2 linked regions of the Xenopus tropicalis genome follow. The protein of the gene in region 2 purifies or fractionates together with the protein of the main gene of each other region. This does not show direct contact. Links are inferred from orthologs where the notes say so. Each region holds a gene or a part of one and is shown on either strand. Other genes may lie near its edges.

Region 1 (4,104 bases), on a different chromosome or scaffold from region 2:
TTTGCGTATACATAGGAATAGCTTGCATTTTTGCGCAACGCTGTGTCAACAATGTATGTTTCAGAGAAATTTTTGCCCTTGATCCCCCTCCTGCATGCCACTGTCCAGGTCGTGGCACCCTTTAAACAACTTTAAAATCAGTTTTCTGGCCAAAAATGGCTTTTCTAGGTTTTAAAGCTCGCCTTCCCATTGAAGTCTATGGGGTTCGCAAAGTTCGCGAACTTTCGCACTTTTTGGCGTAAGTTCGCGAACGGGTTCGCGAACTTTTTTTTTGAGGTTCGCTTCATGCCTATTAGTAAGTCAGGTGTCTATATTATCCCTAAATTTTTTTAAAAAGAAAAGTAACCCTCCCAGCTGCCAACAGACACTCCAGCATAAATCCAACAGCGGAAGGGGGAGGATGAGGGGTCAGATGGAATCTTCAGTGGATGTGACAGTTGGGACATCAGGTGCAGGGATGCACGTGATGTCATGGGGGGGGGCTGCAGTTAGGTTTCATGCCTAGGTGAGATTTTAAAAGTTGTGGAATTTTCGCAGGGATGCACCGAACCCACTATTTTGGGTTTGGCCAAAATGAATTCTGTTGAATCCTGAGCCGAATCCAAATTAGCGTATGCTAATTAGTAATTCAGAAGGGTTAAAATTTGCCGCTCAAAAAAATTTTCCTCCCAAAATTTAACCCTTTCTGAATGCTAATTTGCATATGCTAATTGTGATTTGGATCTGCCAAAACCAAATCCATCATAAAAAGGCTGGATTCCGCCCGAATCCCAAACTGAATCTGGGATTCGGCGCATAACTAGAATTTTCCCCTGAAATGGATGCTGTCAGATACATTAGTTATTTTGAAGAAATGCTTGGATTTTTTTTAGTGTAAGAAAATAAAAGAATACTGGTATTTATACTTACTGCAATATAAAATACTGAAATAGAGACTGGCACAATTTTGTAGTCAGAAAATAGTTTTTATATAAAAAGCTAAAACAGAGACTGGTACAGTTTTGTAGTTAGAAATGAGTTTTTCCCTATTATTTAGCAATTGTCAGTATAACGAAACCTTTAATAATTCAAACAAAAACACCACATTTTCGCACAACAGTTTGAAACAAAGCAACACGTTGAAATAATGATTCCCGTATGAGCCGGAAGAAAGGGCAGGTTATTTCATCCAGATCCAATAATCGCACTGTTTGGTTGAGCACGCATCTAGTCTAGCAAGGTTTCCTTAACTAGAAAGCCTATTGGATGACAGAGTTCTCAATATCCGATTGGCTGCGACAAGCAAAGTTCTTTAGGATTGGTTGAATTCCCCAGCGCCTAGTTTGAATTCGGAAAGTAGCAACAGTCGGGAATCACGAGTCTGCTGAGAGCTGCCTGTCCCGGGAGGCGGTGGTTTCGGTCCGGGGCTCACAGGGTAATACCAAGGGTCATTATAACACAGGTTAGTTTTGTTGTAATTGGGAGATTCTACATATGTTTCTATATTCAGTACCTTGGTATGATCCCTCTTAGTTCACTGGCTTTGAGGTTTACTTCTTCTGTCTAGATATCTGCCCTATATGGTTTATTATTTATGTATTTATAATCTTTTCATACGAAGGTTGTCCCAGTGACTGGCGATCTATTGTGCTGCCACTAGTAACGCATACAGGGAGTTGTTCAAAAGTAGGGGTATTATATTTATTATTTGTCTGCTGGGTAATGCAGGAAGTATATGGTGGGAGTGCTGTCTAAAGCTAAGTGCTGTCTGTTTCCATATAGTGGGTCAGGCATTCACTGTACTGATAAAAGAATTGTCAGTCATTTCTTTGATATTATGTATTACTGAGGGCTGGGTTATATATATAAATGATGTTGTGTAATGAAGAACCTGGGGATGAAGGGGGAGGTATAAAATCCCCTGGAGGGCTGCTTATTTCCCACTGGCCTCTACTACCCTGTTGTGTAGGTGTTTGACTGCAGTTTCAAATATCACAGTGTGTTCAAGTGCCAGTGTGTGTCACAAGCCAGTGCTGGGCATAACGTGAGTGTGGCTTTGAGTACTCCCATCTTTGCCATTCCCTCATGTCACTTGCCGCTATGCAGGACTTTTATGGTAACTTGCTCCTAAAATGTCATTCATCTGCCCTGGCCTAAAGAGGTCAGGAAAGTGTTGTGTGTGAGTATACAAACATATATATACATTTTTGTATCATAGACCCATGGAATTTGTCCACAGGGAAACATATACTTAAGATGAATTATACCAGAATTCCTTTAACTATAGTACAGTTAATAGCTATTAACAATTTTAACAGTACCTACCCAATCACCTAAACAATATGGTTACATTGGAAAGAAGGAAATCTATTTATATACAGTGAAGGAAAGGTTTAACTGCATGTAAATAAGTCCCTTTCCTGTATACTTACTCTAAACCTGTTTTTTTTTTTTTTTCTGGTACAAAAGTCTTTGTTCTAAAATTGCAAATGTTAAGTGCACTGTAACCTGAGAATGTGTCAGTAGTTTTGTTTGCTAAGTCATAGGGAAGTGACTTATGAAAATGGAATGTGCCTTTTCATATGTGCACATTCCATTCTTTTAGATGATATTGAATATCTTTTCTTTTTAGGTGGTGGCTTTCACTTCTGATATTGGGTTATTTATATTCATGACTTAGTAAGCAAGACATTACAGAAATATGAAGTGAATGTTTTGTTAATACTAAAAGTCTTAAAGGGAATGTCCATGTTTTTTTTGCATAATGAAAGCAAATTATACACTATATTCCTGTATAGATTAAAATATACCTAAAGGTTAAAACACTACTACAAAAGTCCAATTTGTTGAGCTACTTACAGTAAGGGAAATCACCACTACTCTTTGGAACCCAGGCTGGTGTAGGTTTTTATTGAAAAATTGCACTAGTCCAAGTTATATTTTTCTAGGTGCCACACACCTCAGGGGGATGGGGGGGAAGGTGCATGTTGGCCAATCATGAGTGGCATTTTCTTACATGAGTAGTATTGTTTCCTCTGTCTCTATTATCCTGCACCTTCTGTGGGGCAGACCATAGGGTAATGGAACACTGGGATGTTGTCTGACACAGATTTTTGGTTGTGTTGTACAAGGGATTTTCTCCAACACCTACTAAAATTATGGTATTATCTGTTTATATATATATATATATATATATATATATATATATATATATATATATATATATATATATATATATATATATATATATATATATATATATATATATAATTTTAACTAATTCTTGTGCTGCAGAAATCCTATATTCAACAGCTTTCAGTTAATAAATATTGTAAGTTGCGGTTACCAGGGACAACACTACACCCTTCTTGCTCTCTTTATATCTGTGATGAAACTAGCATACTCTCCGAATTAGGTCAGTCACACCCATAAAGCATAAACACTGTACATTACACTCACTTTTTGTTTAATGTAGTGGTTCAGACATGATTTATTATTAGATATCACCATACTGTGCTATTAGTTCTGTGTTAGTACTTCTCTCCTAAGGGTCATGGCAGGTTTGCAAAAGTTAAAGCAGCTGGATATATCTATACACACAACTGAGTCTTTGATTTTCTGCATTTACTCAGTGCTACCATTACTTTCCCTACTAGGTACAGGGCCTGAATAATCATGGTTAGCAATGTTGTATCCCCTGGCATGGGACTGCTCTCAGATGATGAGGAGAACCCAGTGTTTGAATCTACTGCAGCTGAATGTGGGGCAGGAATCCGAAAAGCACTTCTGTCTGACTTCTCTGTCATCTCACCAGGACTGGGCCATCCTCCCCAGGTATAGAAAGTCAACCCAGTCTTATGTTTCTTTTCAGTCCAATGCTGGACAGCTTGCTAGGAGTGAGCAAGGTTTGTTCTATGTATTGTTTGTTCTATAACTTTTGAGCTTACAAATACTTATTACGTACCTAAGCTGGCTGTACACAGAAAGATTTGTTTGCTTGGGCAGGTCACCAGATGGTATGGCCAAATCAAACCAATACCAAATATGTGGGTCGGCAGTCAGTTTCAGACCACATCCACTGGCTTTTGCAGTCCTCCTCCAGCCAGATCTTTTTAGCTAGCCCAA
Region 2 (4,083 bases):
AACAAGCAGCTTATATTGGAAATGCATTCCTATGTTCAAATTTAGAAAAAAAAAAAAAAAGAAAAGAAAAAAACCCTCCCACTGTAGACTTATCTCTAATAAACATCCACTCAAAAGGTTCAGTATGGTGTGGCAGCTTTAACAAAGATGACCTAATATAGTCCAGTTTAACAGTAAACCAACTGCCTTACAAAAATTGATTGAAATTTGATCAGCTGATGATCACAAATACCCCCTGTACCCAAATGTCCCATCAATTTCTGTTTTAATAGCTTAAAGGAGAAGGAAAGGTAAAATCACCGGGAGTGCCAAAACGTTAGGCACACCCCAGTGACTGTAAATGCTTACCTTATACCCTCGGCTGCTGTTCCTGTTAGGAGAAACCTGCACCAGCAATCTTATTCCTCTTGTCATTTTTTTCTTTATGATCCCAAAGCCAACAGAACTGTGCATGCGCAAGTGGTGAGAAGACATAAGAGAATCGCTCTCTCAGGTACCCAGGGCCAGTGCAGCTTTCTCCTAACAGAGGCACCCCTCAGTGATCTTACCTTTCTTTCTCCTTTAAGGGTAAGAACCCATGGAGTGAGTTACTAGCCCAAGATAGATCTCTGCTATCGCGGGCATGTAACTGCTCTGAAGTCGCACCAAGGAGGAGGAAAACCGAAGCAACGCGAAGGGCTTCCTATTGTTGCCAGTGGAAAGCCTTTTCAACGGTGACTAGCCCACGATAGCAAAAATCTCTCTCGAGCGAGTTACTTGCTCTGTTGATTCTTACCCTTAAGACCACATTAACAATAAGAGCATGTGTATGTTGAAGTAAAGTCTGGCCCAAATTAACACATACCATATTTTCTCACATATAGCCTTGACATATCTAGGATATGTTAGTGAAAATGGAAAGGTACCCACAACTATTCAAAAACAAAACCATACAGAAAGATAAAAAAAATAAAGATATGATCATGTATAAAACCCAATAAGAACCTTTAAGCTGATCGGTAACTTTATTTAAATACTCTTTCAGCCCTGGGTCTGTAGTGAGTAGCAGTGTAAGTCCATACTTCTGGATACGTGTGAACGTTTCTGATGGATAAATCCCACGCTGATATAAAATACTATTGATGCCACAAACTAAGGAGAAAAAAAAACAAACAAAAATTAACATATGATCAAAAACAGACTGATTAATATCCTGATTTTTGGGACCTGTAGTTTTCTGGGTAAGGGTTTTTTTCTATAATTGATTTTGCTGAAAAACATTTAAACATGAAATAAACCCAACTAGATTGTTATAGATATGAATTTATGCAGCTACGGTTATTATTACAGTGAAAATACAGGTATAGCATCCAGAATGCTTTGGACATAGGGTATTTGGGATAAGGGACCTTTCTGACATTTGGATCATCATACCATATGTTTGCAAAAGTTATTTATACATTAAATAAACCCCATAGGATCATTTGGTCTCAAATATGGATTTGTGTAGCTTAGTTTCCATAAGGTACAAGTATTTTTACCTCACAAAGTATAGCCTTACTGCAACAGAGCTAAGGTTTTCACTGACAGTTATTTTCTTAAGCTGTAAGGCACTTCTATGTTAGGAGTGACTAATTGTGGCCACCATACTGGATGTCCTCAAAATAGTGTTTTGACTTGATCCTAACTAAGTTGCATAAATCCATATTGGTGACAAAACTACCCTATCCAGTTTTATTGTTAACACTTTTCTTAGTTCACTTAAGATACAGAGATTCAATTGACTTTATTTAATCTAGTGCCAAGTAATTGCTTGGTAGCGTTACAGTGTATGCAAATAGCCACCCCTTACAAAAGGAGCATGATCTTGGCCAGCCAACACAAATGTAGCATTGTAGAAAAAAAAGTTAATTTGTGCTTGCTGTTTTTCAAAATTTTAAAGAAGCACTAACCCCCACATACTCTTTTTTTTTTTTAAATTGTATCCACCTACAGCAGCTCCCCTCCCCTCAACTGCATCACTGCCAATGTCTACAAAATCCAGGCCACCACAATATCAGTTGTCTAATTGCAGAGTTGTGCAGCAGGGCTGGTGGCTGCCATCTTTGGAAGCAGGAGTATGCACACTGGAACGATTTGGCCTATGACTAAGTGCCCAGATGGAGCACAAAACACATAGCTTTGTTGTTCTTTGAAACAGATCTATTACATATTTAATAAATAGCAATTTTAAGCAGTATAGTTCTACTCCAGTCTGGTTTTGTGCCAACCTGTCTCTCTCTAAGAAGATATTATGCAAACAGGAATGATTTGGCCTATGATGAAGTGCCCAGATGGGACACAAAAACACATAGGGCTTTGTTGTTCTCTGAATAAGATGTATTGAGTTCTTAATAAATATCGATTTTAAGCAGCATATTGTGCCAGTCTCTCTCTCTAAGAGGATATTATGCTCAGTGGAGACCAATTAATGCCTGACTTCCAAATCACATGCTCTATCTGGCCAAAGCTGCAGCTTTACTCAGCAAGCAGATAGTGGGGTGGACTTTTACACACTGTCAGCAAAATATTTTCGTGTAGTCCCTCCTTTACTGCATGAGTCCAATTGTCAGTGCGTTTTCTATCCATGTCCCCATATCAGCCATGCCAAAGGCTCAGTTATTAGCTACTGCTATTGCAACCAATAAGGGTTATCTTCCCCTCCCCAACCACTTACAGAAAAACTCCGACACGATTTCAGCGCTACCCTTCAGGGTAATCCCTTCACGTGTTAGCTGACCGGCCATCGGACCCTTCTTGTAAAACTGAATTGGTTCCAAAAGTTTTCAGGTCCTGATAGTACTAACGCGCCTTCCACTTCAAACCAACGGCGGACTCGTACTCTGATTGGACAACTGTCACATCATGTGCAGCCTGTGGTCCAATTAAAAGCCAGCCGGAAAGATGCGTTCTGCGTGACGTCGTATGTTCGCCATCATTACTGAGGGCAAATCTTAAAATTTGCGGTAATAGTGTAGCTCATATCAACCAATCAAAAGTTAGCTTTCCTAATTTGCTTGCAGCTAGAATAACTGAATCGAATCTGCGTTTGCTACGTGTTTAGTTTATTGGCGCAGTGTTTATCGATATTTGGGCAGTTGTCGGTGATATTAAATAAATGGAGCATATGTTCGCAGTTCTGTAGACGTCTTCCGCAGATATATTTAGAACATGGTATTGTGATTTGTAAGAGGTACGGCTCATATTAGTGGGCGTGGAGCGCGTTGGACTTGGATGTATATAACTTTAACATTTTTACGATATAGCATACAGGAACAACAAATTATGCAGAAATTTTATTTCAAACGTATACACACTTAGGGCACTGGAAAATACATTTATGACTTTAAAATTCACATCGTTCTCGATCCCGTTGGAGCATGCAGTTCCCTGTCACATACCCACCTATGGGCAATTTCATAGGGAGCTATTACCCTGCTCTTCTGTTTTTGGATCATGGGTTGGGTTACCAGTGCCACTGTTTGGTAAAAAAAATAATATTCCTACCCATTTGGCCTGGTATCAAGGCTGGTAAAATACTGGCCAGGTGGCGACATTATGCCTGGGGGGCAGGGACCCATGATCATGCATACTCCTGACAGGCAGTGCTGTGGGAACATTTCTTTGCTACATTTTTGTTTGCTGGTTTCTGCACGTTCCTGGTCGTCTCTGTCTTTTTACACCATCAACACCAACTGCGCACATTCGTCCTAAACCTTTCTATCTTGCTGCTCCTTACAGTGGATATAAAAAGTCTACACACCCTTGATAAAATGTCAGGTTCCTGTGCTGTACAAAAATGAGACAAAGATAAATCATTTCAGAACTTTTTCCACCTTTAGGGCTCTGGCACACGGGGAGATTAGTCGCCCGCGACAAAACTCCCTGTTCGCGGGCGACTAATCTCCCCCAGTTGCCTTCCCCTGCCATCCCACCGGCGAAAATGTAAGTCGCCGGTGGGATGGCACACGCGGCGGCGCAATTTCGCGCATATCGCCGAAGTTGCCTCGCGAGGCTTTTTCAGCAATTTGCGCGAAATTGTGCCGCTGCGTGTGCCATCCCACC

The links. The genes of interacting proteins can lie anywhere in the genome.
Region 1: the proteins of mad2l1 (region 2) and kif20a purify together in Homo sapiens (affinity purification with mass spectrometry; 4 studies listed by BioGRID and IntAct, with this or other methods). This does not show direct contact. The link is inferred for Xenopus tropicalis from reciprocal best matches to the Homo sapiens genes MAD2L1 and KIF20A.

Annotation. Positions count from the first base shown.
Region 1 is NC_030679.2:47,845,251-47,849,354, forward strand, and holds the start of kif20a (kinesin-like protein KIF20A), read left to right. Parts: upstream 1-1,298; 5' UTR 1,299-1,441; intron 1,442-3,635; 5' UTR 3,636-3,654; coding exon 3,655-3,813; intron 3,814-4,104. UniProt on the Homo sapiens protein: Mitotic kinesin required for chromosome passenger complex (CPC)-mediated cytokinesis. Following phosphorylation by PLK1, involved in recruitment of PLK1 to the central spindle. Interacts with guanosine triphosphate (GTP)-bound forms of RAB6A and RAB6B.
Region 2 is NC_030677.2:71,054,962-71,059,044, forward strand, and holds the start of mad2l1 (mitotic spindle assembly checkpoint protein MAD2A), read right to left. Parts: upstream 2,812-4,083; 5' UTR 2,766-2,811; coding exon 2,696-2,765; intron 1,132-2,695; coding exon 985-1,131; intron 1-984. UniProt on the Homo sapiens protein: Component of the spindle-assembly checkpoint that prevents the onset of anaphase until all chromosomes are properly aligned at the metaphase plate.